Rattus norvegicus: one gene and its partners. The protein of the gene in region 1 interacts with the protein of each later gene in a pairwise test. Links are inferred from orthologs where the notes say so. Each region holds a gene or a part of one and is shown in the gene's direction. Other genes may lie near its edges.

Region 1 (4,065 bases):
CACGCACACACTGTGGTTCAAACTTTTCACCCGCCTGTTGGGGTGAAAGTGGCAGAAGATGAGGAGAAAGGACTAGGAAAGGGTGTGAATGTGGTCCCTAGTAGTCAGTAGGAGATGCCATGCTTTAAAAAAAAAAAAAGAAAGAAAGAAAGAAAGAAAGAAAGAAAGAAAGAAAGAAAGAAAGAAAGAAAGAAAGAAAGAAAGAATTGCCTTGTTCGGGGTTGGGCCGAAAATATTCTTTCCTCTCGCTTTGGAAAGTACACACAGGTAGACGATCTCGGCAAGTTTATTCGGCTGGAACCTGGGGTCCGCCAGTACGAACAATCCGGGGAAATTATTTCGAGGAGGCTCCTCCAGGAATGTGTAGAAAATGAAGTGAGGGGGATCGGAGTGTGTGGCCACATTTCCCACCGGACTGTCCTTTGTAGGTGCAGACCTGGAGAGACTGAGAGAGTGGAGAGTGTGAAAAAGAAAGTTTTCTATCAAACCCATTCAGTGTGTGTGTGTGTGTGTGTGTGTGTGTGTGTGTGTGTGTGTGTGTGTGTGTGTGTGTGTGTGTGTGTGTGTGTGTAAGATCTGAGTTCCAACGGTTCCGAAGAAGCAAGCTTTTAGGACGTGCGAACACCTTTGGTGGGGACTGCCTGAGAGCCCCTGGAGACGCTGAGCAGCTGGGAAGTGGCGGCGTCTCCCCAGCCGGCGCTCTTTCTGGGCGCCAGAGTCCCAGGGCGCCCCGGGGCGCCCTGAGCGCCGAGAGCTGCACCCCATCCCAGGCTCCGGCTCAGCAGCCCGAGCCCGCACGAGCCGCCCGCGGTGGCCGCAGGTTGTGGGGAACGGAGGAAGCACTGGGGCCCAGGGCGCAGCTAGGAGTGCCAGGGGCCAGCACGCCCCGAATCCGCGGCCCGGGAAGCCTGGCGCCCACAGAGCGGCGGCAGAGCCCGGCGGCGCGCGCGCGCGAGCAGGAACCGGTTATCCAGCAGCTTGACGCCACTCCTCCGGAGCGCGGCCCGGGCGAGGGGAGGGTGGGGGCCCTCGGGCGAGCCTTGGGACCCGGGGCCCCCTCTGCGCCTGCGACTCCAGCGCTGCCTTCACCCTCCTCGACTCCTTCTGAGCGGAATTTGCCACCCGAGCTCCGGAGTTAGCGCGCGACCGGGGCGGGGCCGGCGCGCGGGGAGGGAGGGGGTGGGAGCGAGGGAGGGCGGGGGCGCGCGGAGGTAACCCCGGCTCGCGCTGCCATTGCCCGGCTTCCTGTCACTCAGTCCGCTCTAGGCCCCCTATTGGCGGCCGGGCCCCGTTACGCACTCGCCTCGCGTTCACATACTCGGGGAGGGCAGTAGAAAGGTGATCAATCTTCATCAGGCTACATTTCCAATCACCTAAACAACCGAGCAAGACAAGCCACTCCGACAAGGTAAATTGCTTGATTTATTTAGTTTGCCAAGTGACTATGCAGGATTTCTCCAATCCCTACCGCCTCCGGGTTGCACCGAGAGTGCAGCTGCCACCTCAAGCCACCTCCTAACTCTGTCCCTCGAACACCCCCACCCACCCACCCCACCCCCCGGGTCCCGGGCGAGGCCGGGTCTTGGGAGGAAAAGCATGTGGGACTTTGCAAACAAAGTGTTTGTGCAATAAAGTGAAACCCGGAGGGACACGCACAGAGCTACTGGGAAAAAAAAATGCAGGAGACGGGAAGAGGGAAGTTGGGGAAGAGGAAAACCTGGGGTCCTAGCCCCGCCGCCGGGGTAACACCTGTGCGCCTCCGTTTTGCAGGTTGGCTGCCCGCGGGTCTCGGTGAGGGCGCGAGGTAGATGGTGAAGAGCCGCGGCAGCCGAGGGCAGGTAAGGAGGGAGTCGCGGGGCCGCGCGCCACCCGGGACGATGGTGGCCCCTCTCGCCTCCCCCTCCTGGAATCCACCCTCGCTACCGCGGTCCCCTGCAGGTGGGCGGGGCTGGGGTGAGAGACCAGGCGCCCCTAGGCAGCCCGAGGGACCCCAAGCCGCGCGGGAGCCGGCCGCCCCCTCCCCCGCCTCCTCCGAAGCTGCGGAGCCGGGGTGCTAAGTTAGACGAAAGTACTCGAAAACTCACGCCGCAGCCGGACAGAGCCGCGGCGGCTGCGGGCCTGTGGCCCTTCCGCCCAAGCGCCTCGGGTCCTTCCCTTCCCTTCGCCTCCCATGCTCACTGGGCCCCCTCAGTCCAGGCTTCGGGTCCCCTAGGACTGAAGCGTGGGGGAAGGAGTTGTGAAGGGGGAGCTGCTTTAGTCCTACCTTCCTTTCTCCCCAGAATCTCCCACCCTTGGGTCCTGGCAGAGCGGGAAGTAGCTACGAGCCCCCCTCCCCACGGCGGTCCCAGTCGTAACCCCCAGAAGCCACCACCCCCCCTTTTTTTTGCTGGGGGAGAGCTGTGTGGGCTCGCAGTGTCTGCGCCGAGCCTCGCGCTCCCAGGTTGGCTGTGAGTGAGTTTTACAACCTGAGGCCTAGTTCCTTGCTCTCCATCGGGTTCAGAGAGGACGGCGGGAGAGAGGCGACCTGCAACGCTCGGCCTTCCGAAATCCCTAGCATGTTTGGGGCACTGGGTTGATCATCTTTTATCAAACCCCGGTGGGACGCGGTGTGCTCAGCAGACTTGGTAGAAGGAAGGCCCGGCCTGCGCCAGCAAAGGAAGAGGGGTGACCGTCTTGGAGGTACCCCTGACCTTGAGCGGCGTCCTGAAACTGCCACTTCTACCGTGGCTCCTTTGGAGTCTTGTTGCCGCCTTATCCTGGCCTGGGCCGCATCTGCCCTGGAGGTGCGGTGGGATTCATGTTCATCTCTCTTGGCGTCAGGGACCCAGAGAGGTCAGCTAGAAAGGTGATTGCAGGCTCTGGGTAGGAGGCAGCCCTGAAGATCTTTGAAGAAATGACATGGCCAGTGAGCCTCGGGGATCCGAGGTGTACCCACCTTGGGCCTCTGTATTGCTTTGCCATTTTGTCCCTCTTTCAAAAAAAAAAAAAAAAACATTTCAAACTAAACGAAATAACCCCGTATCTCTCTGTGCGGCCTGCCCTCTCGGCGCCAAATGAACATTTGCTTGAGCAAATTGCTTCCGCCGCACTAAAAAAATTTGACTACACTTGGGATTTTGCACCCTTCGCGGTCTCGGCTCTCACCTCCTCAGCCTGATCACGCTTTAACTTTCCTTCCTGTTGACACTCGAGGAGTGTCTTTGGCCCTTGTCAAGCCCTAAAAGAGGAAGGAACGAAGCGGGGAAAGTTTACTTTCTTGAGAAGCTGTGTGGCTGCCGAGCTAAAGGAGGAGACATTTCTCTCGGGTTGCCTGCTGTGCAGTTCCTAGCATGCGCCCCCTCCCCATTCAAGGATTATAGGAGCTGAAAGCCAAACTGACTACGGGTGAAGGTTTCCATGTGTCTCCTGTCTCCCTAGGCCAGGCCCCAAGAAGCAACAGCTTGAAGGACGTCGCAGTGGGAGCCCTGAACTGCTCCTGGCCTCAGGCCCCCTGGATCCGTCGGGGCGCCTCCACCCGGCTGTTAGCATGATGTCTTACCTCAAACAACCCCCATACGGCATGAACGGGCTGGGCCTAGCTGGCCCTGCCATGGACCTCCTGCACCCTTCCGTGGGCTACCCTGGTGAGCAGTGGCCCTCTGTCCCTACCCCCCAAGCCTCTGGAAATATTGGGGGTTCCATCCCCTAAAGTTTGAGCCCACGCTGTCCCCCGACAGACCCAGGAGGGTGATTAGCACGCTGCCTGTTGCCTAGATCTGTTACAGGCAGATCTGGAGCCAAGGTCTGCTCAGAGAGCTTAGAAACTGCAGCCTACAACTTTTGCTCTGTGGAGTCTGCGACCTGGGTCCTCTTGTGTCCGCTTGCTAAGGAGGGCATGTTCTCCCCGCACCCCTCCCTCAATTTATTTCCCTCGGTTGCTTTTTCTAATTTTTTTTTTTTTACAAAAAATTCCTTCCCTCGTTCCAATATTTCATGCGGAATCTGGGCTTTCGCTAGGCCCCAACAGCCAAATTTTCCTTAGGTCTAGTTTCCCTGAGAAGCAGTTCTTTCTCCCTAGTTAAAGAG
Region 2 (4,207 bases), on another chromosome or scaffold:
ACCAACATGTCCTAGCTCAGTCTAACACAGACCTCCCCCTTTCCCTGTTATAATCAAAACCTGTAGTTATTTGCTGCTGTTTCTATGTGACTTGGATTCAGCTGCTCTTAGCCATGCTTTATAAAGGATCTCTTTGCATTTGTTTTTATGCTTCGAAATTGGTGTTTGTGTATGGTCTGTGCCTAACCTAGGGTGCTGAGGGGAGCACCCACAGTACAAGGGTCCCTTCAATCATAAGATGTCAAAACTATCTGAGGAGAGGATGGAGATTTGAAGCCAACACCTGAAAAACCAAATATGGAAATCCTTTCTTCCTACAACTTCCATTAATAACTTAGCAGTTATGGCCTGTGGGTTGAATATGAAAGAGGGTGAGATTGAAAGAGATGTTCTTATATTTCCAAATGTTCCTGTGCGCCACCCACGTGAAGTTTCTTTCATAACTCAGTTTGAATTCAAGCCTTGCCTGTTATATGACTATCACATAAAAAGCATGTATATATAATATTGTCTGTTTAAGCAAAATCTGAGTTACTGTTCGCCGCGCGCCTTTAAGTCTACAGCAGCGGAAAGCGAGAAGAGCAGGACATGAAGAACACGCAGTTTGCGAGGAAAGGACTGAGTGGCTCAGAGTTGCGGGCAAGGATAGTACACGAAAGCTGTACGATGGTAACATCCTCTCTCTGACACCATTTAGAATCATGTAGATGAACCCCTTGGCATGTCTGAGAGAGAGACATTCTAAATTGGGCTAACTGAAACGGGAAGACTCATCCTACACGTGGCTGATACTGTAACATGGCCAGGAGTGAAGAGCTAATTATTGTTCAGGACTGACTGCTATTCAGCCAGGTTCTTTGGACACAGGCAGGTACAGTCAATTCGTTGCCTGCCGTTCTCCAGCAATATCCACAGTCAGCCATTCGAGCTTAGCTGCTTCCTAGTCTAAACCTTTAGTGCTTTCCTCCCTGTGGACAAAGCCACCAAGCAGTTCCCTCCCTATACCGACAAAGCACGGAATAGCGGCTGACACGCCACGGAAGAGCAGCAGCATTGCTTCCACGGAACTCTGGGGGGCTTTGCTTTCATAAAGGCACAAAGGCATGGGGAAAATCAGAACAGTACTATGAACAGATGGGGGCTGCCTCAAAGGTCCCCTCAGATGGTTTTCACAACGCATCCATTTGTCATAGGGGCAGCTTGTTCTAACTCGAGACACTGAGCATTACAGCAGTGACTTATAAAGAAGAAACTTTCTTACTCACCTACAGAGGGCAGTCTTGGCATACACACTCAGTGGGCAGCTCTATCTGGAACGGAATGCTAAAATAGGTAGATAAGCCACTACTGATCCAGAGAAGGGATCAGCCTTTTACTTTGCTTAGAATAACATTGCAAGAAGGTCCCAGCAGACTCAGACATGGGCCAGCATTAGCCAGCCAAAGAACAGAGACGATACCTGGATGTTGGTAAAACCGGATGACAAGACTCCGGTAGGGCATTTGTTAGGAAAACATGCCCAGCCTTCCCCAAGGAAACCAAGGCTACCTGGAGGAGCATCTTTCCGGGCAGGCTGAGCAGGCACAGTTGCTGCCCCTGATCAGAGCAGAGAAAGATTCCAATTCCAGTATTCCCCAAGACCCAGAAAATAAAGGGGTCTCTCAGGCTGTGACTGGTGTCAAGGTAAGATGATCTCACAATCCCCACTGTCTTTGGCCGGGTAAAGGTTAACCCCTGAAGAATATAATGCCAGTAGCCAGTTTTATCGCAGTAGACTATGGGTGATTTATCAAGAATACTTTTGGAATAATTTACAGAAAACCTAAAAATTTGAAAACTACCTGGTGTCCAGTTTTCTCCACCCTAAACAGCTCTCTTTCACCATTGCTTTTTTTGTTGTTGCTGTGTTTTTGTTTTTTGTGGTTGTTCGTTTATTTGCTATGCTTTTGTGCTTGAGACTGAAGCCTTGGCCTCAGGCACACTGAGCGGGCGCTCAATCACTGAGCTACGTCCACAGAGTTTTGGCTGTTTGTTTTTTAGGTGATACTTTTTTTTTTCTTAAGCAGGAAATTTAGCTTCTTTAGCTGTTGCTACTAGTTCTTGAATGTTTTTCTCTGATAGAAATTGTGAAAGAAAATTAGACTTCTTTCTAAAAATATTATTACAAAATAATGAGAAGCTTCTATAGGAACATGAACATTAAAGATGTTAAATGTGTAGCTTCCTAAAGTGAGCTTCCCAAGTGTGAGTTTCTGACATTGATCATTTCTCCTATCCGGGGTTGTATGTTTCTTGGCAGAATGTACAGTGTGAGATGGCAAATTCTCTTAACTATTAATAAAGCACAACTGTTAATAAAAGGTTACAGTATGGAGAGGAATGGGCTCGTGTCCATGTTAAAAAAATAATTATCAGAGTTCAGAACTAAATGATGCAAAAGCAGACCACAGAAAACCTGTCCAAGTGAGTCAGCGCTGGAAGTCACAGTTGTTCCTGAGCCGTGGCCTACATCCTGAAAATGATCATTATATGGAACTCTGCACTTAATTCTCTAGACCTGCCCTGTGGTGGTATTTCAACTAATCGGTATGAGCAGAGGAAGGGTTAAAAGAAAATGAAAAATAAGTTTATTGTGAGTCTTTTTTTCTGTGGAAATAACTTTAATTTTCTGATATATGTGAGTACATCGTGAATCTGACACTCCAATTATTGTCGCCAACTAAGTACAGGACTTTATCTGATCAGCAGCTCATTCTCGAAGTTCTCAGATAAGAGTTTCGTTGTGTCGCTAAAACTGGCCTCAAACTCAAAATCCTACTGTCTTAGTCTCCCAGGTACTGTAGTTAAAAATGTGTGCCGCAACCAGTTAAGCATTAAGTCACCAAATTGAAATTAAAAGGAAAGATGTCATGATTAGGAGATCCTTATGCATTTTGAATATTTTAATTATCAGTGCCTCCCTTAACTCCTCCCAGATCCACACCCAGCTCCAGTTTTGTGTCTTTTTCTCTTTAATAACCCACCTACTAGGAGATCTTTATTAGCAAATATCTAAAAGCGAATAATAATCAAAAGAGATTTCTACAAGCTAAAAATTGGACATTATTCTTTTTTTTTTATTAACTTGAGTATTTCTTATATACATTTCGAGTGTTATTCCCTTTCCCGGTTTCCGGGCAAACATCCCCCTCCCCCCTCCCCTTCCTTATGGGTGTTCCCCTCCCAACCCTCCCCCCATTGCCGCCTTCCCCCGTAGTCTAGTTCACTGGGGGTTCAGTCTTAGCAGGACCCAGGGCTTCCCCTTCCACTGGTGCTCTTACTAGGATATTCATTGCTACCTATGGGGTCAGAGTCCAGGGTCAGTCCATGTATAGTCTTTAGGTAGTGGCTTAGTCCCTGGAAGCTCTGGTTGCTTGACATTGTTGTACATATGGGGTCTCGAGCCCCTTCAAGCTCTTCCAGTTCTTTCTCTGATTCCTTCAACGGGGGACCTATTCTCAGTTCAGTGGTTTGCTGCTGGCATTCGCCTCTGTATTTGCTGTATTCTGGCTGTGTCTCTCAGGAGCAATCTACATCCGGCTCCTGTCAGTCTGCACTTCTTTGCTTCATCCATCTTGTCTAATTGGGTAGCTGTATATGTATGGGCCACATGTGGGGCAGGCTCTGAATGGGTGTCCCTTCAGTCTCTGTTTTAATCTTTGCCTCTCCCTTCCCTGCCAAGGGTATTCTTTTTCCTCATTTAAAGAAGGAGTGAAGCATTCACATTTTGATCATCCGTCTTGAGTTTCGTTTGTTCTAGGGATCTAGGGTAATTCAAGCATTTGGGCTAATAGCCACTTATCAATGAGTGCATACCATGTATGTCTTTCTGTGGTTGGGTTAGCTCACTCAGGATCATATTTTCCAGTTCCAACCATTTGCCTACGAATCTCATAAACTCGTTGTTTTTGATAGCTGAGTAATATTCCATTGTGTAGATGTACCACATTTTCTGTATCCATTCCTCTGTTGAAGGGCATCTGGGTTCTTTCCAGTTTCTGGCTATTATAAATAAGGCTGCGATGAACATAGTGGAGCACGTGTCTCTTTTATATGTTGAGGCATCTTTTGGGTATATGCCCAAGAGAGTTATACCTGGATCCTCAGGCAGTTCAATGTCCAATTTTCTGAGGAACCTCCAGACTGATTTCCAGAATGGTTGTACCAG
Region 3 (3,500 bases), on another chromosome or scaffold:
AAGGTGACCAGGCTTCCAGTAATGACAATCTGATCTTTGATGACTATCGAGGGAAAGGGTGTGTGGATGACAGCGGCTTTGTTTACAAGTTGGGAGAACGGTTTTTCCCAGGGCATTCCAACTGTCCGTGTGTCTGTGCCCTAGATGGACCTGTCTGTGACCAGCCGGAATGCCCTAAAATTCATCCGAAATGTACAAAAGTGGAACACAATGGATGCTGTCCTGAATGTAAAGAAGTGAAAAACTTTTGTGAATATCATGGGAAAAATTACAAAATCTTGGAGGAATTTAAGGTATGAGTTACCCTCCATATCTATTGAATTCTAATTTTTACTATAACATGCTTAGCAGATTATATTAAAAGAAAACCTAGAAAACATAAAATTCTACAACTCTGTAGAGTCAGTGTTTGACAGGAAGTCCTGTTAATTCATTGGTCAATACTCCACAGTAATGTTTTTTTTTTCAGAAGTGTTTAATATCTTCTCATTTTTAATGCTGAAAACCGTTCTTTCTGTGTTTTTACAAAATATGTTTTTAGAGAGTGCTGGTTTGGAGGATGCATCTATTAAATTAATTTTCATATTGTTAGTTTTCTGGCTTATGAGTCTGTATTTTGAGCCATCTACCAATGGTCTTGACATATTTGTTTGCTGTGTAGACATGTGTATGCTACAGAAAAGCACTCAGAGCTGTGATCTCTATATCAAGAAAGTGCACTGGGCCTACTTGTTATAGAGCAGGGTTCAGCTCTGCTCGCCGGATGTTTTATTCACAGGACTTCAAAGAGAACTGAATTTTTGTCATGGCCTTCAAAAAGAGAAAAGTCAACCTTTCAATTACATGACACTTAGTTTTCCTTTCATCCTTCATGTCTCATTTTAAAACAACATGGAGTTTGCTTTTATTTCTTCTGGAGTTCTCTTTTATCTGATGGCCTATTTTAATTAGAATGTCCTACAAGCCATATGAGTCCTAAGAGCACGAATTAATCTACCAAGAATATCTTAGTTAATTGTAGTGACAGTTTGTGTCTTGAAGTATCTTTCATGCTGAAAGCTTAATATGAAAGGGTCTTATTATATCAAAGTTCTGTGACATAGGGTTTATAGCATTACAGGTTTAAAAAAAAAGTTACAGCTGGTCCTAAGTGTGCTTGTTTAAATTTGAAAAAGAATGTTCAGGTTTTCAACCTGAACTAACTACTCTTTCTACATACTAAGCTGGTGGTAGAAGTGAGCATGTGGCAGGAAGGCTTGAAGTGTCATCGTTAGGGAGTGTGGTGTGTGGTTGTTTGATTATATTCATTCCATTCTGGGCCATGAGTTCAAGCTTGTTCTGGTTTACACGGGAATGCCCAGCCTTTTGTACTACGTTCTATTGCCTATAAGGAAAAGGGGCTTAAATGACTAAATCAACTTTGTTAGATATAAGTTTTATTCTAGAGATTTTTCTTTTGTATATTGTAAAATTGTGTTGTGTAGTTATTAAGTAAAAGTCAAACTACCCTGACACCAAATGGCAGTTAAGAGCATGCTATCTTATAGTGACTAATGACAATATGGTCTCTAAAATATTGTGTATACTTTGGCATAAGCTCTATTCACTTCTGGGTAGTGAGAGTAACTAAAATATTCAACACATTATAGTTTGTAGAGCCATGAACAAAATCTGTGGCCATCCCTATCTAATGTGCACATATATATTGAGTAGAAATTTTCTGGAAAGAACATTTAACTCAAACCAAGATCACATGAGATAGTTTTTGACAGATAAAATTTGGCAATCAGCATTTAATATATAAAACAATAGGTGGTCTGATTTATGAATTTTTTAACTTACCCTTAAAATGCTATAGTTTTCCCCCTCTATATACTAGATTTACTTAAACAAAAATATAACTTTGAGACCTAGGGAGATTCTTCAGTGGTTAGCAGCACTAGCTGCTCTTCCAGAGGACCTGGGTTTGTTTCCCAGCACCTACATGGCAGGTCACCATCTGTATCTCCAATCTCAGAGTATCCAATGGATACCCTCTTCTGGCCTCTTCAGGTACCAAGCATATATGCGGTACACTGACATACATGCAGGTCAGCACGCATGTACTTAGTAATAAATACAAACGTTAAAAGGTATCAGTGTTACCATCTCAGACAACACAATACATATGAACAAGACATTAATTATTCTTGTGCTTCTAGTTATAGCCCCAAACATAGCATAATTCTTCATGTAACATCCCTGAATAGCAAAGCACTTGTACCTATTTCTGCCAAAGGATTATTAAGAATATATATTTTAACTCTGCTTTATCTTGTGATAAACACATGGCCACAGAAATTTGTAGATATTATCTAAGACAAATTTGTTAGAAGGTAGAACTAAGACCAAGGAAGTTTGTTACCTCCCCCCCAAAGTCATCCATTTGTTTAACCTTTTCTTTATACTGCTTTCTTGCAATTAAATCTATTCAATGTCCCAAAAGACTTTTATGTCAAGGTCAGAAACAGCTGGATTTGAAGCCCAAATTCTTCAGTGAGATGTAAGTTCTGACCCACAATAGTAAGACTATAAAGTAGCCATTGTAATAAGTAGTTCCCTTGTAAAGAGATGCTTAAAAAATATTTAATGAAATCACTAGGCCTAGGACAATGGGAATGTTTGAGTTGAATAAAGAGTTCTTCTCCATTACAAATACATAGGTATTTATTATCAAATACATAGGTATTTACTCCAGGTTCTAAATTTTTCTGAGTCTTTCCTTATATTTTATAATTAAAATTCAACTTTAAATCATTTCTCAGATGGAGGAATTAAATACTTTCCATTAATGTTGTAGGTCTCCATATGAACTGAACATCTAAGCAAACACTAGCCAAATCCTGTCATCCTTACTTGTTCCCAACTTCCTCACCTGGAACAAGTAACCAATATTTAAAGATGCATAAAACGTACTTATAATGCTGTTGGTACGTCATTGAGGATGTTATAATGTGAAATATCCTTTACAATAACATATTCATCCAAAGAGCATTTGCCGTACCATTTGCTATTCATGATACTATGGAATCACCTGTTTTGAGCAATAAGGATCCTAGAAGTTAATGTGCTAACAGAAAGGGCATGATTAATGTCCAACTCAAATGAAAAGAAAAGCAGTAAAAAAATTGAGCTTAGAGACGAAGTGTGCTGGCATAGACACTTGCAATCTAAGCATTTTCGAATAGAAGGCAGGAGGATCATGGATTCACAAGGCCAGCCTCAGCCACACAGCAAGACCCTAACCTACAAAATAGAAATGGCATTTCATTTATGAATATAGTGACAGTATCTGTTCAAGATTCATGGTGTGAAATGCTTATCAACATATCACAAGGCTTGCCAAAACAAACAAACAAACAAACACAACAAACAACAAACAAACAAAACAAAACAAATATTTCTTCAAGTTGGTCAATGTTGGAGCTGTCTTTAGAATGATCAAAGTTGATACGGGGAGA
Region 4 (3,500 bases), on another chromosome or scaffold:
GAAGTTCTAGCCTAACTTAAGATCTCTTCCACCGATGTCATTATCTCTAGGACCCTAGTTTCTGCCCCAAGGCACCATTAAGCTGAAGGGTACTTCATGCCAATCCACTCTCCTGGGTTAGTGGAGCACACAGGGCTTTCCCAGCTCCTGGCGTCTTACTCTGTGTCACAGTGCCGTCTCTTACTGCCTTCATTCCTGTTGCTGGGATGGAATATTCTGACAAATGCGACTTGAGGGAGAAAGGGCTTGTTTTTGCTCACAGTTCAAAATACAGTCTGTTATGGTCAGGAAGTCAAGTTAGCAGGACTTTGATGAAACTATCGAATCACAACCATAGTAAGAGAGGGGAGGGTGAATGCAAACATTTTTACATTGTCCAGCACCTATGGCTGAAGAACAACCCCACCCATAATCAAATTAGTTTCCCCACATCAATTGTCATAATAAAGATATTCCTCCCTCCCCTCTATACCCTTGGCCAGAGTCCCCTGTCCCAGATGGTTCTAGATCCTGTATAGGTGACAGTGGGAAGCAACCATCACGCTTACCCAATGGCCTCCTGCTCCGCACCCTCAGAATTTCTTCCTCGTCTCTGCCAAGACACTGGAGATTGACTGACATAGAATCCAGTGCAGCTGCTCAATCTCTCAAGATGGAGGAAAGAGATTCATGACAAAAATATGGCTTGGCTTAAGGGGAAGGCTGGTGCAGAAGTCTGCATTGACTTCTGGTGTATTCTACCTTCTTAGCTATTAATAAGGAGAAAGTAAATGAAAAAAACTGAACAGAATACAGCAAAATTCAAAATGGCTCTTGACTTTCTTAAAGGTAACACAATAATATGTCAAATATCAAAGCATATCCAGTCTTGAAACCATAAAGGTACAACTATGAAAAAGAATTTAAATAATTAGGTTACATATCATGGAGTCAGAGTGGATAGTAATATCTGTGTGAAGATTCTGATTTATTTTATGATTTATTTAAAAGTTAGTATAGACTTACCAACTTTCACACTCCACCACCATTTAAAAGTGTTATTCCTCTCTGTGTGTCTTTTGAATAATCCCACAAGGTCGGCAGTGAAAACCCCATGAGACATGGTTCTCCTGCGAAAGAGATGCTTTTCTTTGGCTTTTGCAATTGCCTTGACAAAGTGTGTTACATTACAGCCTCACTGTCAGGAATGAAGAAAGAGGAGACTCTTCGGGGAGACCCCCACACACCACCAAAATGGAGAGCATCCAGGTCCTAGAGGAATGGTGAGTGTTGGGGCAGGGAGAGTCAGTTCTGTGTTTAAAAGCCACGTACGTCCACCCAGTTCCCGAGCACCATCTCTCTGTGGTCCTCTCACAAATGGTTCTGTGAAATGAAAAGAGACTCAGCCTGAAAGGTCTCTTCTGTGATTGCAATGATTTCTCACTGGGTCTCCAAGCTGGCACATTGTCTCAGATGATCTTTCTCTGTTAGTAAAGACAATTGCATGAATTATCACAGACAAGCCTTAATTTTACTCTTGTTGGCTGAAAGTACTTCTTACTCATTGATCTTTTTAGCCGGTATACAGGTCTGTGTACCATGTTCATGCTCAGTTGACAGGGAAGCCTGAGTGGGACTTGAATACCCTGGAACTGGAGTTACACAGTAGTTGTTCACAGCCATTTGGGTACTGAGCATTGTACCTGGGTCCTCTGGAAGAGCAGTCTGTGTGCTCTTAACTGCTGAGCTATTCTTCCATCCCCACGGGAAATATTTTTAAAATTCATCTTCATTTTATAAGAGAAGGATCTGAACACCGCACATACACACACACACACACACACACACACACACACACACACAAACACACACGTACAAGTACACATGCACAGGTATACACTCTCTGGATGACCAAAATCAACCACTAAAAATACCCAGCTCACCAGATCCTGGTTTTGTAACCATCTGAACATACTTCATCAAAGTCTTTCTAAAATGAGAAGTTGAAAAGCAATTTTTAGAAGATAAAATTTAATTGTGAGTTGGTGGCTCACATCACTATAAATCTATAAATGCCTCCTTTTTTGCTTTTTATTGAAATTTTAATATTTGAATATGAGTCTCATTGTGATGTTAAACATTTGGACATTTAATTTTATTGAGAGAAAGTGTGTGTGTGTGTGTGTGTGTGTGTGTGTGTGTGCGTGTGTGCATCAGATGGATGTGTGTATGGATATACGTGTGGTCATGCTCTCCCATGTGTGTATTGTGGATCTTAGAGGGAAACACTAAGTGTCCATCTCTATCACTCTCTACCAATTTTTAAAGCAGGGTCTCTCGTTGAACCTGGAGCTCAAGGTTTTTGCTAACCCTACTGGTTTGTGAGTCCCCAGCGTCTGCCTCTCTCTCCTCTTTCCCCCAAACACTGGGGCACATCATCTTACCTGGCTTTTTACATGGGTGCTGGGAATTCGAACTCGGGTTCTCATGCTTAGAAAGCACTTTACCCACTGAACTGTCTCCCCAACCCCAAACCTAATATCATAAATGAATAAAGAGGTTTAGACATCATGGGACAGCGACAAATCTATTTAAAATCCTTGGTCAAAAAATTAAGAAAATTAAAACATAGTGCCCCTCCTAACCTAATATATATTTGAGACAAAAGCCAAGATTCTGTTAAAGATTTCTGTTAGAAAATAAAAATCTCCAAGACCTGTGCCTCTCCTCCTTTGGTGTGAGGACAAATGGACTGGTGACTGGTGATCTTGGCAATAGAGTAGTGATCTTTATTATATGTTGTCCAGAAAAATCCTTCTTGCTGTTCCAAAAGTCCTCTACCTTTCAAGGAATACTTTGAGCATTGGGGGGTGTTTTGTGCTCAATGAACAAAGTATATCCTTGTTTTAGGAATGGCTACTGGAGATGAAAAACCCTCTTATGGTTGGACAATGCAAATGAGGGAGAAAAAAAGGGGGTTCACAGTGTTCCCATCCATTTACAAGAAATTGCTAAGACACATCACCACTTGCAGAATTCATTAGGAGTGTCTGACAGCCATGGGCATGTGGGATGCACCCCCTTACAGTTCTAACCCTCAGCTCCCTTCCTTGCTTCTCGCACCCACTGGATCAATTTGTCAAGGCTCAAATCAAGCCAGGCGGAATGGCAAAATCCTGACCAGTAGAGGGCAGCACAAGACTACAAATTTGAAACCATCAGCTGCTTCTGCCAGCAGACGGGTCAATGTTGTTCCTAATGGCTTCATTCTGTCTCTGCAGCCAAAACCCCACTGCAGATGAAGTCTTGTCCTGGTCTCAGAATTTTGACAAGATGATGAAGGCTCCTGCAGGAAGAAACCTTTTCCGAGAGTTCCTCCGAACAGAATACAGCGAGGAGAACCTACTCTTCTGGCTGGCCTGTGAAGACTTAAAGAAGGAGCAGAACAAGAAAGCTGTTGAAGAAAAGGCCAGGATGATATACGAGGATTACATTTCTATACTGTCACCGAAAGAGGTAAG
Region 5 (4,115 bases), on another chromosome or scaffold:
CATCCCCTTCCATGAAGGGTGAACAGGCAGCTTCTTGGCTTTTACTACATTTTGTTGCCTTCTAGTGCACTTTCTTGCGGCTGCTGTTCTGTGTAGGGAGTGCCTGGGTTCCTTGCATGTAATCCCACGCATAATTGTGAACACTAAAAAACATTCAAAAGCTTGGAAATGCAGTATGCCAATGGTCATAAAAATGTTTATCAAAATCCACTGCAATTGTTAAGACTTTAAAAAATTACTTTGAACCCAAACTATCCAAACTCCCGTTCACAGGTGATTTAGATCATGGAGTTCTGTTGTTGATCAAATACTGTTCCTGATAAAAATTCCCTGGAAAATTATTTTCCACTAACAATTTTTGAGGCCTTAGGTTATCTTTAAGATAAGCTTCGTGGAACTTTTAATTTCACATACATTCCTTTTCACTGCATCCTGAGCTATATCGTCCCCAGAATACATGTCCAAATTCCTTAGTTTGTAAAGAAGCGAAAAGCATTCCCTGGCTTACTAAAGTCCCCCACCCCGTGACAGACATGTGACAAAAGTTAAAACTTCCTGATGAGTTATGCTTATTTTACTAGATTAAAAATGTATTGGTGTTTTTGACAAAATTATACAAACATTACAAAACAGGAAGGAATTGGGTTCCCCCTCCCCCATGTAATTTTAGGGATCAAATCACAAACTAAATGAAGCAATCACTAAAACCCCACAGCAGGAATTTCCACTCTTCAGTGTGTAATTATATTGCATTTGCAGAAGTGACTGTCCTTTCTGGAACTTTCATATTTCGCATGATCTGTACTTCACACATTTTCCCTCTGTCTGGGGGCACGGTGGCATGGTGTACACGTTTTTTCCGTTGTTGTTGCTGTTTGCTTGTTTTTGCTTTTTAAATGTTCTTCACAACTCTTTTTAACTCAATTCTAAGGGTGAATCCACCAGTCCCCTTAAATCGGAGGCTGACAGCTCAAGACTGACAGGGCCCCTGAAACACCGGGTACTCCCCTGTTGCGCTTGCAGGATTTCTGCAGGCAATCAACTTTTTAAGAGCGTCCTCGAGTCCACATCCACGATCGCTAAAATCCTGCTCCGGGTTTTCGCGCAGCCCGCGTGATTGACACATGATATCACCGGGGGCGGGTCCCGGCGTGGAGGTGGAGGTGGCGGCGACGCTGAAATGCTGCGGAGCCCGCGCGCGAGTGCTCAGCACGCAGGGGTTTGCGGCGGCCCCGCAGCCAGAGCTCTGCGGGCTGAGGAGCTGCTGTGGGCGGCGTGCATGTGCCGGGAAGGCCGGCCCCAGGCTCTGCACTAGGTAAGAGCCTTCCCCTCCCGCCGAGGACCTGGCGAGATCAGGTGAGAATGGTGCTTTATTTTATTTTATTTTCTTGGAACTGGACGTTTTCTGAGCTGGCTCTAGCTCTGTGCCCGGCGCTCTACGGTCGGCCCTGAAGCGAGTTCCGTAGCCGGGCAGCGAGTTCCGTGTGTGCGAACGCGGGCTGGCACCGCCGCGCACCCGCGTGTCTGTGCGCATTGTTGGCGACCGACCCGCCGGGCGCTCGTGCCAGACCTGACTTTCCCCGTCCCTGCGTGCGGGCTTGCCTCTCGCAGACGCGTCGTTGGGACGCGCTTTTGACTGCGGGGCGTTCCGTGGGGGCAAAACGTGCACGGCCGCGTGTGTCCGGAGCTCGTGGCTGTCTACCACGGCGAGCAGGACAGCGTCCCGGGCTGGCGAGGGACTCACGTGTTTCTGTCTCTGCTCGTCTGCAGCCGGCGTGGCGACTGCGGGGACGCGGACCTGCGGGAACCCGAGAGCCCGGGACGACGCCGGGCCGCGCGCCTGACGACCGGGACGGGACGGTGCTGTGGAGCGGGCGCCGCGCGCACCCGGCGGATGTCCCCGAGCCGCCCTCGGCCGCCGCCAACCGCGGAGAAGCGCCCCTGCCCGGGGGCCGCTGAGGCCGCAGCGCGGGCCATGCGCGCCCGGCCGCCCCGCCGCGCTTGATGCGGCGCGCGCTTCGCCCGCTCCGCGCCCCCGGCCGGCGCCGTGGAGGCCGAGGTGAGTGCGGGCGGCAGGTGCGGGCCGGGGCGGGCCGGGCGGTCCTGGCGGTCTTCGCGCAGCCCGTGCCAAGCGCGCGGCACCCGATGGCGCTGGGGATCCAGCGCCCGCCTGTGCTCGGAGCGCAGTGCCGCGGGACGCGGGGAGAGGGCGCTGCCTCCTCCCGCCCGCGAGCTGTTTTCATTCATAACTTTCCCCCGCCGGACCTGCCGCGGCTGGGTGCCCCTGAGGTCTCGGCTTGGGGCCCAAGCGCCGGGCGGTGCTACCCACAGTGCTGTCCGCGCGCGCGCTCCGGCTTAGCTCTGGGCGGTTGCGGGGCGCCTAAGTGCTCCGCCTGAGCGAACTTGCTTGGGAATGCCCTGTAAAAATGCGAATGAAAGCTGTGCCTAGGGGTTTCATAGCTCAAACAAGCCGTTCCCACGTCTTCCTTTCTTGTGGATGAGGCTTGGCACATTTAAAGTCTTCGTTATGGAGTTTTAAATTTTTAAAAAATAGATAAGGCACAGAACGATGGGCAGGTTTCCGGTATCGTTTAGGAGTTCGGCACTAAAACTTGCTATGGATGTGTTTCTCGTGTGCAGAGAAGGTAGTTATAAGCTAGAGGGGCCTCCAAAAAGCTAACACATTTGTAGTCTAGGGGCATTTGTTAGTAAAGTGACTTATTCCTTAAGACTTTTTGTTTTGTTTTTGTTTTCCTTTGGATACCAGGAAAGTGCAGAGGGTTCCTTCTTGAATTAAGGTGCATCAATCTATCTGTAAGTTCGGAAGGCATTTGTGTGAAAAATATTCCAGAAACCTATCGCCCAGAAACGGAAAGAATTTGGTCTTTTTTTAGGAAGAATACGTTATAAGTAGGGAGTTATTTCTTCTTGACATGGAAACGTGTTTGTTGTATCAGTGTATCAGTATTTATTTTACTACAAAAAGCCGGTCTGTTCAGGGCTTATGAAAATCAAGGCCTGTCATGCAGGTAAATGAAAGGAAATACATATATTGTAAAAAAGACCAGGGTTCCTCTCCCCGCTTTAAAGGGCTGACACTGTGCATAACTTACCCTTGTTGTGTGGCGGGTGAGCCTTTAACGCCACACCGTAAGGGTTGCGTACGTGTGCCAGAGCATTCCTCGTTCTTTGTAGCTTCTTTTGCCCATCTCACAGATGTGTGTGGTGAGCTAGCCTCAGACCCTGACTTCTGCTGAAAGTGACCTTTGGAGATTCCGAGTGAGCTTGGAGCAGCCAGTGTTTTGGAAATTGGCCTTGATTAATTTTCTCATTAATCTGAAGCTCGTAACAGCATATAAACGGCCAAGAGGCCACAGCACTAAAACCATTCTTAATCTTCTAAAAAGTAGCTGACATTTTCCCTACGTGAACTGCCAGTGAACTGATCGTGAACTCTGAGAACAGTTCCAGAGCGCACACTGAGTGCTGCCTTCGAAGGCATATTTCATCTTAATTATTTGTTAGGTTTGCAAACAGGAAGACATGACTTCCTCTGCTTTTCAGAAGCTGGAGAGCAACTTCTAATTTTTAAGGCATGAGGTCTTTGCTTTCTTCCTGTGATACGGTCCTCTACAATCTTTTCTGGGAGTTGGACTCTGGCCAGGATTCTGCATCATTGGAATCAGCCGACGAAGGAGATCTTTACCATGTGGCTTGGGAAATTTGTTTCTTGACAGAAGCCCTTTCCCCCTCCCCCCCCAAAAAAACCGCTTTCTGCCGCTTATTTTCTCTTTCACTCTTCTTTAGGATTTCAGATGCATGGCAGATTTCCGCTGACTGCTGGAATTGGAGATCACTCCACATGGATTCCCCAAGTCAGCATGACAGCCACACTTCACTAGTGGTGATTCAGCCACCGGCTGTGGAAGGCCGGCAGAGGTTAGACTATGACAGGGACACCCAGCCTGCCACGATTCTGTCCCTAGACCAGATCAAAGCCATCAGAGGCAGCAATGAATACACAGAGGGACCTTCGGTAGCGAGAAGACCGGCTCCTCGAACTGCACCAAGACCCGAAAAGCAGGAAAGGACTCATGAAATCATACCAGCCAATG
Region 6 (4,189 bases), on another chromosome or scaffold:
GTCCCACCAGAGGCTGCAGAAGTAGGCCTGTGTACCATAGGAGCAGAAGGGAAAAAATGGATCGGGGAAGGCACTGCAGTGACCCATCTCCCCCAGCAGGGCTGGGTGCTGAATCAGGACAGCCAGTCGCCCACCTGGCCATCAGCCTGGAATGTCCTGGGACACAGCCAGAACTCAGGTGGGGACTGCAGAGCCAGGGGCCCTCTCCAGTTACAGGACAGGGCCCCACCCCTTGCCACTCATGCTACATTCTAGCCAGGGTACGGTGGTGACAGGCTTCCTAGAGAATTGGAGCATGCAAGAAGAGGCATCGGACTTTTCAGTCTAACAGGTTTTCTTTAGTGTCCATGGGAGGATTAGACCCGCCCTTCATGTCAGGTGGGCATGAGGCAGAGGGGGAGACTCCTGTGGAACCCTGCAAGAGAAGCCAGAGCCAGAGGAGTTACCACGGAGACATTCAGTAAATACCATGCACATGAGGGTGACATTCTTTCAAGTGACAGCTACGGCATTCCAAAGGCTGCTGTCAAGGGCTTGGGCTGAGAACCCCCAGGCCGTTGACCCTTGTTTTAGGAAGGTTGTTCCATCCTTTCCAAGGCCCCATCATCCACCTCCTTCCCTTGACTCCTGGGACAGGAAGTTGGCCCTATTCCCAGGAGGGAAGCAGGAGGCCCTAGAGGGGGGTGGAGTATGTGTTGGGAGGGGGCCTCCTGTCCAGTCCTTGGGTCCAGTGACAGCCACAGAGGAAGGAGAGACCCGCCAGAAGAGCCATGAAGGTAGTGCTCAGCTTTCGATGGGTGGGTGGGGTCCCCGGTAGAGCCTCAGGTGCAGGGTCTGGGAACTGAGCCTGGAACTGTGGGTTGTATCTGGGGGGGGAGTAGCTGCTGAGGTCTTCAGGAGGAGCCTCCAATGCTCTGGGTTACAGCAAGTGGACCACTCCTGCAAGCGGTTAGCCCTCCTGGCTGGAACTTGGCGTAGAGGAGAGTACTCCAAGATCCTTTTCTGTCTGACAGGGAAGTTAACCTTCATCCCTAAGTTTCTTTCACCCTGAGGATATGGAGTGCTGGGCTATCAGGGGTACTGGTTCCCAGCAACACTCCCTTCCCACAGGAAGTCCCAAGGGACCATGAGGGTTCAGGCTAGAGACTGGCTGGGGACACAGTGTTCTCCACTGGCCCTTGAGCCCTGCCCTGAGACCTGAATTCCCACCCTGCGCCACTGGCTGATTCCAGGGCTGGATCTCAGGACCACAGACCCCTGCATGCGGTGGCCCACTGGGTGGGAGGCAGCACCAGAGCTCGGGAGAGCCAAAGATCTTAGGCTGACACTCCCAGCAGGGTAGATCCTGGGAATCTGATCTCCTGGCCTCCCCCACATCCTCCCCCACCCCACTTCCTGGAGCAGCGACCTGCCCCCTTCCCGCCTGCACTTCCCTCCACTTCCAGGGCCAGGCTTCTCCACACACCAGCCAGACAGCCTCCCCTCCACCCAAGGGAAGCGGCTGCCTCGGCCAGGCTGCTTCCAGGAAGCCCCGGGCCAGGCCCCAGCATTGTTCAGGCCCAGCAACCAAGAGCCCAGCCAGCCAGACACCATGAAGTCCAGCGGCCCTGTGGAAAGGTTGCTCAGAGCCCTGGGGAGGAGGGACAGCAGCCGGGCCACCAGCAGGGTAGGAATGCCCACCAGCTGGGCAAAGGTGGGACAGGGTGGAAGTTCGGACAAGGCAGGAGGGCCAGGATTCAGGCCAGACCCTCTTCCTAGTTTCAGCCTCTTCTCCCACCCCTTCCCCTGCCTCAGCACCCCCTCCTCTTTCCCCTGGCTCCCCATGTGGCTAGGGTAGCAGTGTGATATACCATCTGTCTTGCTTCTTCTAAGTGTTTACTGGCTTGAGCCTGAATAGGCCCCGAGGGTTCAGCTAAGAGCTGAAGCCCTGACCTCCCGGGAAAGGTAGGGGAAGAAAGCAATGAAAGGCAGGGAGTTTGCCTTCTACTGATGTAATCTGCACATGACATCATCCACAAGTGTGTCCAAGTGTCCTGGTGGGTCTCACCTCCAGTCCAGAGGAGTTCTAGGACAGTTACCGGACCAAAGCTGCTCCCATGTTGTTGTCCAACCTTGTCTAACCCCCCTTCCCCGTTCTTTTCCTCTCCACACTGTGGTGGGCAGATCCAGGGAGAGGAGGGAACAGCAGGAGCTTGAACACAGGGATGAAGACCTGTGCAGAAGCGGCCCCCCCCCCTCTGTGGCATGAGGGAGATTGTCCACAGACACTGGAGGACAGGAGAGATGAATTGGGGTGGGAGGGGTCAGAGTAGCAGAGAGAACTTTTAGTGAGTGAGGACTGAGGGGGACCTGGACAACCTGTGGCATCCCAGCCAGTCACTGACCTCACTACCTGGGGCGGGGGGTGGGGGGTGGCTCGGGCATCCAGAGAACCTGGCCGCCCCTGTCATAACATGCAGAGGCAGTGAGACAGCTGCTGCACATCTGTCCCTGCCGCCATTCTTCCTTCCAGCATTGCCACCCGAGTCTTAGACAATTGCAGCCTGCCATCTCCATGCACAAGGAGTAAACATGTTGTTCTGACTGTGGGGGAGGGGGCCGAATCAGCTGCCGGGAGCTTAGAGCCCTTGAGAGTCAGGGGCTCAGGACTGGCTGCAGTCAGTCTGGGTGTTATGGGACAGCGCTTGTGTGTCTGGGCCGGCCTGTCAGCTCACAGAATATGAGCCTCATGTGGGGAGGGCAAGAGGAGAGGAGAGTCAGACCCCCTCACTCAGCGAGATTCTCAGAAAGCCCTCGCATTTGAAGTGGGGGTGACAAGGACATCACATAGCTCCTCCACGTGAGGAGGCCTGAGTAAACCCTCAGGGAGGAGTTAACCCAACCAAGGTGACGCAAGGGGTCACATTCCAAGCCCTGTAGAGGACAGGCCTCATGACTACCCTGGAACAGCTGTGGCCAAGTGTGCCTTAGAGTTCAGAGACTTTTGGCTGGAAGAGAGGGATGCAGTCGCTCTAAGGAAAGGTCCCTGCCCAGCCTTGGAGATGGGCCCACTAGGAACTCATAACCCTATTTGTCTGTCATCCCTCTCGCAGCCTAGGAAAGCAGAACCGCACAGCTTCCGGGAGAAGGTTTTCCGGAAGAAGGCTCCAGTGTGTGCAGTGTGTAAGGTGACCATCGATGGGACCGGTGTCTCGTGCCGAGGTGAGGGGCTCTTGCTGTTCTTATGGTGTTGAGCCCTCCAGTAAGCACTTCTGTGCTGTGTGACTCTAGCTCTAGAGACCGGCAAATTCAGAAACAAATGCCCTCAGTCCCCTTGACACCCACCTTGCCACCGCCCAGGAGATTTGTGACCACCTTCCCATCCTTTTGTGACTAGGGGCTTCCCTTCCTCCTCCTCTTCCTCTTCCTCCTCCTCCTGTTCCTCTTCTTCCTCCTCACCTCTATTCATCTTAGACGCCAACCTCTGGCCCTCTTCCCTGCTGATAACCAGCTCTGTTCTTCGACTCCAGTGACCCAGTGTACTAGGGTCCCAGGGTTGGCTTCCAAGGCCTGGAGGACTAGAGGACAGCTACTTTGACTGTTCCCATAGCCTCTGCTAACCTCTATCCTCCCCTTCCTTTCTCTAGTCTGCAAGGTGGCCACACACAGAAAATGTGAAGCAAAGGTGGGTATCCAGTCCTAGCTAATGGGGGACGGTGTCTTTCCCTGCCCAAACAGGTTTCTTCAGCCACACTGGCATCGTCTTCCACCCAGTCCCCTGTCACTCCTGGAGACCCCTTCCTGGGTGGCAGAGGTGTTGTGTTGGGCTCTTTAAGAACCACCCTACTCCACCCCTGGAGGGTTGGCCCAGGAGGGTGGACAGTGAGACAGCGTTTGTCTTGGTGCTGTGCCCGGGCTGCAGCTGGCGAGAGGATGGGGGGGGGGGTGAGTTGTGGGGGAGGAAGGGCGGGGTGGATAGAGAGGGAGCAGGATTTCAGAGACCAGGCACCCGGATGGGCCGTGCCTTCCCTCTGAGGAAGGGTCCTCAGGATGCCTGAGTTGGTCTTATCCTGGGTGGTGATGGCTGAGCCTGTTTGGGTATACCCTGTAGGTGGTACCCACTGTCCACTGAGACCCTGAGGCAGCCCCCCATCTCTGAGGAACGTTCCTGGTCCTCCATCAGTGCAGGGGATAGTCCCAGGGCCTCAAG
Region 7 (4,047 bases), on another chromosome or scaffold:
TTTCTGCTAGCCCCAAGATCTTGACAGCACACCTGAGGTCTATCCTGCAGCCCAGCCTCTTTCCTACTGAGGACAATTGAGCAGTTTCCACTATAGCCCTGCTGCCTCTGGGTCCTAGTGTAGCCATTTCCACACCCACCTCGGCTGCGTTTGACAGAGCCTGGTAACTGCTTCCTTCCAGTGTCTGTCCCCCAGCAGCTAGCTACCTAGCAGGGGATGTGACCCACAACAGGCACATTTGTTTGTGTAAAACATGGGTGTACCAGACATCTACACACACACCCTCCAACACGCACCCCGCCCCCCAACTGGAGCCACCTCACTGCTTTCCATGACTGATCTAAGGCCTTTATTCTCTTTGTTTCTTGTACTATCTGTCTCCTCCAGGCAGCCCTCCATGATTTCTTCTTGGAACAAGGGATCTTCCTGGGTTGCAGTGGCCCCAAGTGGGCCAGTCCCCCTCCCCCGAGCCCCAGCTTCTCTCTCTACAGACTGTAAGCTGTGAGTCCTGAAAGGCCAGGTGGAGAGGGTTAAAACTCCTGGAGGCTGAGGTGTTTTACAGCTCAGAGTGGGGCTGGCTCGGGAAAGGAAAATTTTCAGTTCTTTTTATGACAGGCTGTCTCCCCAGTGGCTGAGAAGCCAAGTTCAGCGCAGCCCAGTGAGAAGAGAACCCAGGGAAGCTGAGGTTCCCTCCTCCACCCATCCCCAGCACCGCTACTGTTTACTCAACTGTGCAAAAGGGGAAATTGAGGCACAGACATCATTTACTGAGGATTGTTTGTTTGGAGGTGGGGGTGGGGGTGCGGAGGAATTCAAGGCTTAACACCCTCATCCCTCACAACCTCCTGCTGACCCGGACTGAGCCACACCCATAGACCCCTTTTGCAGAAGGGGGTGTGGGGGCCAGAGTGGGAGACCTTTTGATTACTTGTGACTTTGTTTCCCCAATGTTATCTGAGGGGGCGGACGGAGATTGTATTGCATACAGCAGGCACTCAATGGTGAACCAGAGTGTTGGAGAACCCCACTTGACTCTCCAAGGCTCATGACTCTTTCTCTCCTCAGACCCCACCAGGTACTGATCAGCCGCGGGTCATCCCGCAGGGCCATGGGGCGCGGCCCTGAATGCAGAGCCTGGCCTGTTTACCTTGCGGCGGGCTCTGGGCAGGGCCGCGGGGGCTGTCCCGGACCCAGCGCGGGGATAAATAGGCCGCGGGCTTGAGGGCTCAGACAGCAGCTGCAGCTCCGTCGACATGAGCCCCACTGCCTGCGTTCTAGTGCTCGCCCTGGCTGCCTTGCGGGCTACCGGCCAGGGCCAGATCCCGCTGGGTAAAGCCGCTTAGTGAGGGGCATGGGTGGACAGAAGGCCCCTCAGTTCCCTCAAGGCTCATGATTCCTGCTCCTCGGAGCTTGGGGTCCGCTCTCCAGGAATGTCCGGGGTTCCTGAAAAATGAATCGGCGGGTGGAGCTTGGATGGCCCTAGAGGAGGCGGGAGGGGTGATGGAGTGGTTGGGTCGCCCATCACTGGCCCCTGTGGACGCAGGTGGAGACCTAGCCCCACAGATGCTTCGAGAACTCCAGGAGACTAATGCGGCGCTGCAAGACGTGAGAGAGCTCTTGCGACAGCAGGTAAGGAAACAGAGAGGCAGACAGCAGCGATGAGACAGAACAGGGACAGGGCACACAGAGGGGGCTGAGGACAGTAGAGAACAGAGAGGGAGACAGCGCCGGGTCAGAACAGGTGCAGGGGAACATCGCGGTGACGAGAAGGGAACAGAAGGGACAGAAAAGGACAGAGGAAAACAGCGCAAGAGCTGAGCTGACAGGGCGCGAGACAGAGCGGATGGAAACGGCTAGGGACAGGATGCCGGACTGGATGAACCTGGTCAGAGACAGGGAGACAGGGGCTCCGGAACGCGCTTGTACAAAGGCAGATTTAAAGGAGGTGGTTATGGGCACCGGGCTTCCGAGGAAGGGGGTCGTGGAAAGAGGAGGGGGACCGAGGAGAGGGGCTTGGGAAAGGGTCCCGCTGACTTCTTGCCGGGCAGGTCAAGGAGATCACCTTCCTGAAGAATACGGTGATGGAATGTGACGCTTGCGGTGAGCACAGCCCGGACCCAGGGGCGGAGGAAGGGTGGGGGCACAGAGTGGAAAGGAGGAAAAGGGCTGGGAAAGGAGGCTGGCGGGGGCGAAAGTGGACGGCGACCCAGCGGACTGGACGCGGGGAGATGCGCGGAGATCAGCTACAAGGCTGGAGGCTCGCACAGCCGCAGGGCGCACGCGCGAACATACCCAGTCCCAGCGTGGGCTAATTCGAGCCCCTTGGGGGCGTGGTCCCGAACGGCCCCACCCTGGGCGGGAGAAGCTCATCTTGTGGGCGGGGCCGGACAGGCACCTCCTCCGGGCGGAGCCCAGGATGGCTCCTATCCTGGGCGTGCCCTAACTTCTGTGGCTCTGCAGGAATGCAGCCCGCACGCACCCCCGGTCTGAGCGTGCGGCCAGTGCCGCTCTGCGCACCCGGCTCCTGCTTCCCTGGCGTAGTCTGCACGGAGACAGCTACCGGCGCGCGCTGCGGCCCCTGCCCTCCGGGCTACACCGGCAACGGCTCGCACTGCACCGACGTTAATGAGGTGCGCGGGCTCCCCACACCCCCGCCGTCCTGTTCCTACCCGGGCCGACCCCACCACAAATTCCCTCCATCCAGACGACGTCCCCCTCATCCACTGAGGGTATTCTCCTGGAGCAGCCCCTCGCAGCCCGGGACTCCAACCCAGAAGACCTCACGTCTAGCAGGGGGGCCCCACCCAGCTCAACTCCATCACTATATCAGACGCACGCTCTGACCACGCCTTTTGCCCATATCGACGCCCACTCCAACGACCCTTTGGACGCCGGGGGTGGCTCTCTCCAGCCCTTCCCCTCACCACTGGGGCTTGCTCGCCCGGACCACGTGTCTGCTTTGGAGAGTCGCCCTCGACGGGGTGATCGCTGCCGTGCTTGCAGGTCCAGGCGGCCACTTCCTCCCTCGGCTGGGGATGCCCGCCCCCCAAGTTCATTTTCTCATCCCTAAGAGGTCACAACTCCATGCCCATGAAGGCAAAGTCGTCAGCGACCCTCGGGTTCTTTATCCCGTGTGGCACCGTACTTCAAGAGCTGGCTGATGGCTCTTAAGCGCCCTGAAATGCAGAGGCTTGCCAATCCCTTTGAGTTCGAGGCCAGCCTGGTATACATGGTGTGTTCCAGAGCAGGGAGAGCTATGCAGTGAGATCCTGCCTCCAACAAAACAAACCCCTTGCCACATCCAGGAAGCCCCAAGGTCCGGGTTCTCTCTGTCCAGCTTTGGGCTCCTAATCCTGTGTGCTCCTTTCTCACAGTGCAACGCTCACCCCTGTTTCCCGCGCGTGCGGTGCATCAATACCAGCCCTGGCTTTCACTGCGAAGCCTGTCCCCCTGGGTTCAGCGGGCCCACCCACGAGGGTGTGGGGCTGACCTTCGCCAAGACCAACAAACAAGTAAGGGAAGCAAGGGACCCTACATTTACGGCAGGAGGGAATGAAAGGCATTTTGTCCAGAAAACTCGTTCTAGTGAGAAAGTTCTTGGAGGGGGGGCGGGCGCAGGTTACAAAGAGGCGTGACCCGTGTGAAACGTGTTTTGTCTGCCTGTGGTCTCCGTCCCCCAGGTTTGCACAGATATTAATGAGTGTGAGACCGGGCAGCACAATTGCGTTCCCAACTCCGTGTGCGTCAACACCCGGGTAAGGAAGGGACCGTGAGGTTGACCCCATCAAGGCGTGAGTGGGTGGCCCGCTGACGGCTCGCGCCTGCGCACAGGGCTCCTTCCAGTGCGGTCCCTGCCAGCCCGGCTTCGTGGGCGACCAGAGGTCAGGCTGCCAGCGGCGTGGGCAACACTTCTGCCCCGACGGGTCACCCAGCCCGTGCCATGAGAAAGCAGACTGTATTTTGGAGCGCGACGGCTCAAGGTCCTGCGTGGTGAGTGCAGGAGCATAGGGCGTGGAAGAGGGTCCCGGGGCTCCGGCGTGCCTGGAC

The links.
Region 2: the proteins of Otx1 (region 1) and Rgs20 interact in binary tests that used the Homo sapiens proteins (3 or more experiments, as listed by UniProt). The two-hybrid records come from large-scale screens. The link is inferred for Rattus norvegicus from reciprocal best matches to the Homo sapiens genes OTX1 and RGS20.
Region 3: the proteins of Otx1 (region 1) and Vwc2l interact in binary tests that used the Homo sapiens proteins (3 or more experiments, as listed by UniProt). The two-hybrid records come from large-scale screens. The link is inferred for Rattus norvegicus from reciprocal best matches to the Homo sapiens genes OTX1 and VWC2L.
Region 4: the proteins of Otx1 (region 1) and Rgs17 interact in binary tests that used the Homo sapiens proteins (3 or more experiments, as listed by UniProt). The two-hybrid records come from large-scale screens. The link is inferred for Rattus norvegicus from reciprocal best matches to the Homo sapiens genes OTX1 and RGS17.
Region 5: the proteins of Otx1 (region 1) and Spry1 interact in binary tests that used the Homo sapiens proteins (3 or more experiments, as listed by UniProt). The two-hybrid records come from large-scale screens. The link is inferred for Rattus norvegicus from reciprocal best matches to the Homo sapiens genes OTX1 and SPRY1.
Region 6: the proteins of Otx1 (region 1) and Tns2 interact in binary tests that used the Homo sapiens proteins (3 or more experiments, as listed by UniProt). The two-hybrid records come from large-scale screens. The link is inferred for Rattus norvegicus from reciprocal best matches to the Homo sapiens genes OTX1 and TNS2.
Region 7: the proteins of Otx1 (region 1) and Comp interact in binary tests that used the Homo sapiens proteins (3 or more experiments, as listed by UniProt). The two-hybrid records come from large-scale screens. The link is inferred for Rattus norvegicus from reciprocal best matches to the Homo sapiens genes OTX1 and COMP.

The regions. Positions count from the first base shown.
Region 1 is NC_086032.1:100,287,622-100,291,686, reverse strand, and holds the start of Otx1 (homeobox protein OTX1), read left to right. Parts: upstream 1-1,265; 5' UTR 1,266-1,408; intron 1,409-1,717; coding exon of another isoform or gene 1,718-2,037; intron 2,038-2,084; coding exon of another isoform or gene 2,085-2,172; intron 2,173-2,500; exon of another isoform or gene 2,501-2,783; intron 2,784-3,417; 5' UTR 3,418-3,526; coding exon 3,527-3,623; intron 3,624-4,065. Other genes in the region: collagen alpha-1(III) chain-like, read right to left, coding at 1-34, 211-445, 626-860, 1,718-2,037, 2,085-2,172. UniProt on the Homo sapiens protein: Probably plays a role in the development of the brain and the sense organs. Can bind to the BCD target sequence (BTS): 5'-TCTAATCCC-3'.
Region 2 is NC_086023.1:19,280,842-19,285,048, forward strand, and holds the start of Rgs20 (regulator of G-protein signaling 20), read left to right. Parts: upstream 1-1,407; 5' UTR 1,408-1,515; coding exon 1,516-1,683; intron 1,684-4,207. UniProt on the Homo sapiens protein: Inhibits signal transduction by increasing the GTPase activity of G protein alpha subunits thereby driving them into their inactive GDP-bound form.
Region 3 is NC_086027.1:79,705,954-79,709,453, forward strand, and holds part of Vwc2l (von Willebrand factor C domain-containing protein 2-like isoform 1 precursor), read left to right. Parts: coding exon 1-293; intron 294-3,500.
Region 4 is NC_086019.1:44,649,946-44,653,445, reverse strand, and holds part of Rgs17 (regulator of G-protein signaling 17), read left to right. Parts: intron 1-1,172; coding exon 1,173-1,262; intron 1,263-3,260; coding exon 3,261-3,495; intron 3,496-3,500. UniProt on the Homo sapiens protein: Regulates G protein-coupled receptor signaling cascades, including signaling via muscarinic acetylcholine receptor CHRM2 and dopamine receptor DRD2.
Region 5 is NC_086020.1:122,484,144-122,488,258, forward strand, and holds the start of Spry1 (protein sprouty homolog 1), read left to right. Parts: upstream 1-1,315; 5' UTR 1,316-1,356; intron 1,357-1,770; 5' UTR 1,771-2,059; intron 2,060-3,807; coding exon of another isoform or gene 3,808-3,862; coding exon 3,863-4,115. UniProt on the Homo sapiens protein: Inhibits fibroblast growth factor (FGF)-induced retinal lens fiber differentiation, probably by inhibiting FGF-mediated phosphorylation of ERK1/2. Inhibits TGFB-induced epithelial-to-mesenchymal transition in lens epithelial cells.
Region 6 is NC_086025.1:135,111,170-135,115,358, forward strand, and holds the start of Tns2 (tensin-2), read left to right. Parts: upstream 1-1,389; 5' UTR 1,390-1,591; coding exon 1,592-1,666; intron 1,667-3,092; coding exon 3,093-3,201; intron 3,202-3,626; coding exon 3,627-3,664; intron 3,665-4,189. UniProt on the Homo sapiens protein: Tyrosine-protein phosphatase which regulates cell motility, proliferation and muscle-response to insulin. Phosphatase activity is mediated by binding to phosphatidylinositol-3,4,5-triphosphate (PtdIns(3,4,5)P3) via the SH2 domain.
Region 7 is NC_086034.1:19,086,749-19,090,795, reverse strand, and holds the start of Comp (cartilage oligomeric matrix protein precursor), read left to right. Parts: upstream 1-1,247; 5' UTR 1,248-1,253; coding exon 1,254-1,329; intron 1,330-1,543; coding exon 1,544-1,629; intron 1,630-2,048; coding exon 2,049-2,100; intron 2,101-2,460; coding exon 2,461-2,630; exon of another isoform or gene 2,631-3,160; coding exon of another isoform or gene 3,161-3,232; intron 3,233-3,374; coding exon 3,375-3,512; intron 3,513-3,680; coding exon 3,681-3,755; intron 3,756-3,831; coding exon 3,832-3,990; intron 3,991-4,047. UniProt on the Homo sapiens protein: Plays a role in the structural integrity of cartilage via its interaction with other extracellular matrix proteins such as the collagens and fibronectin.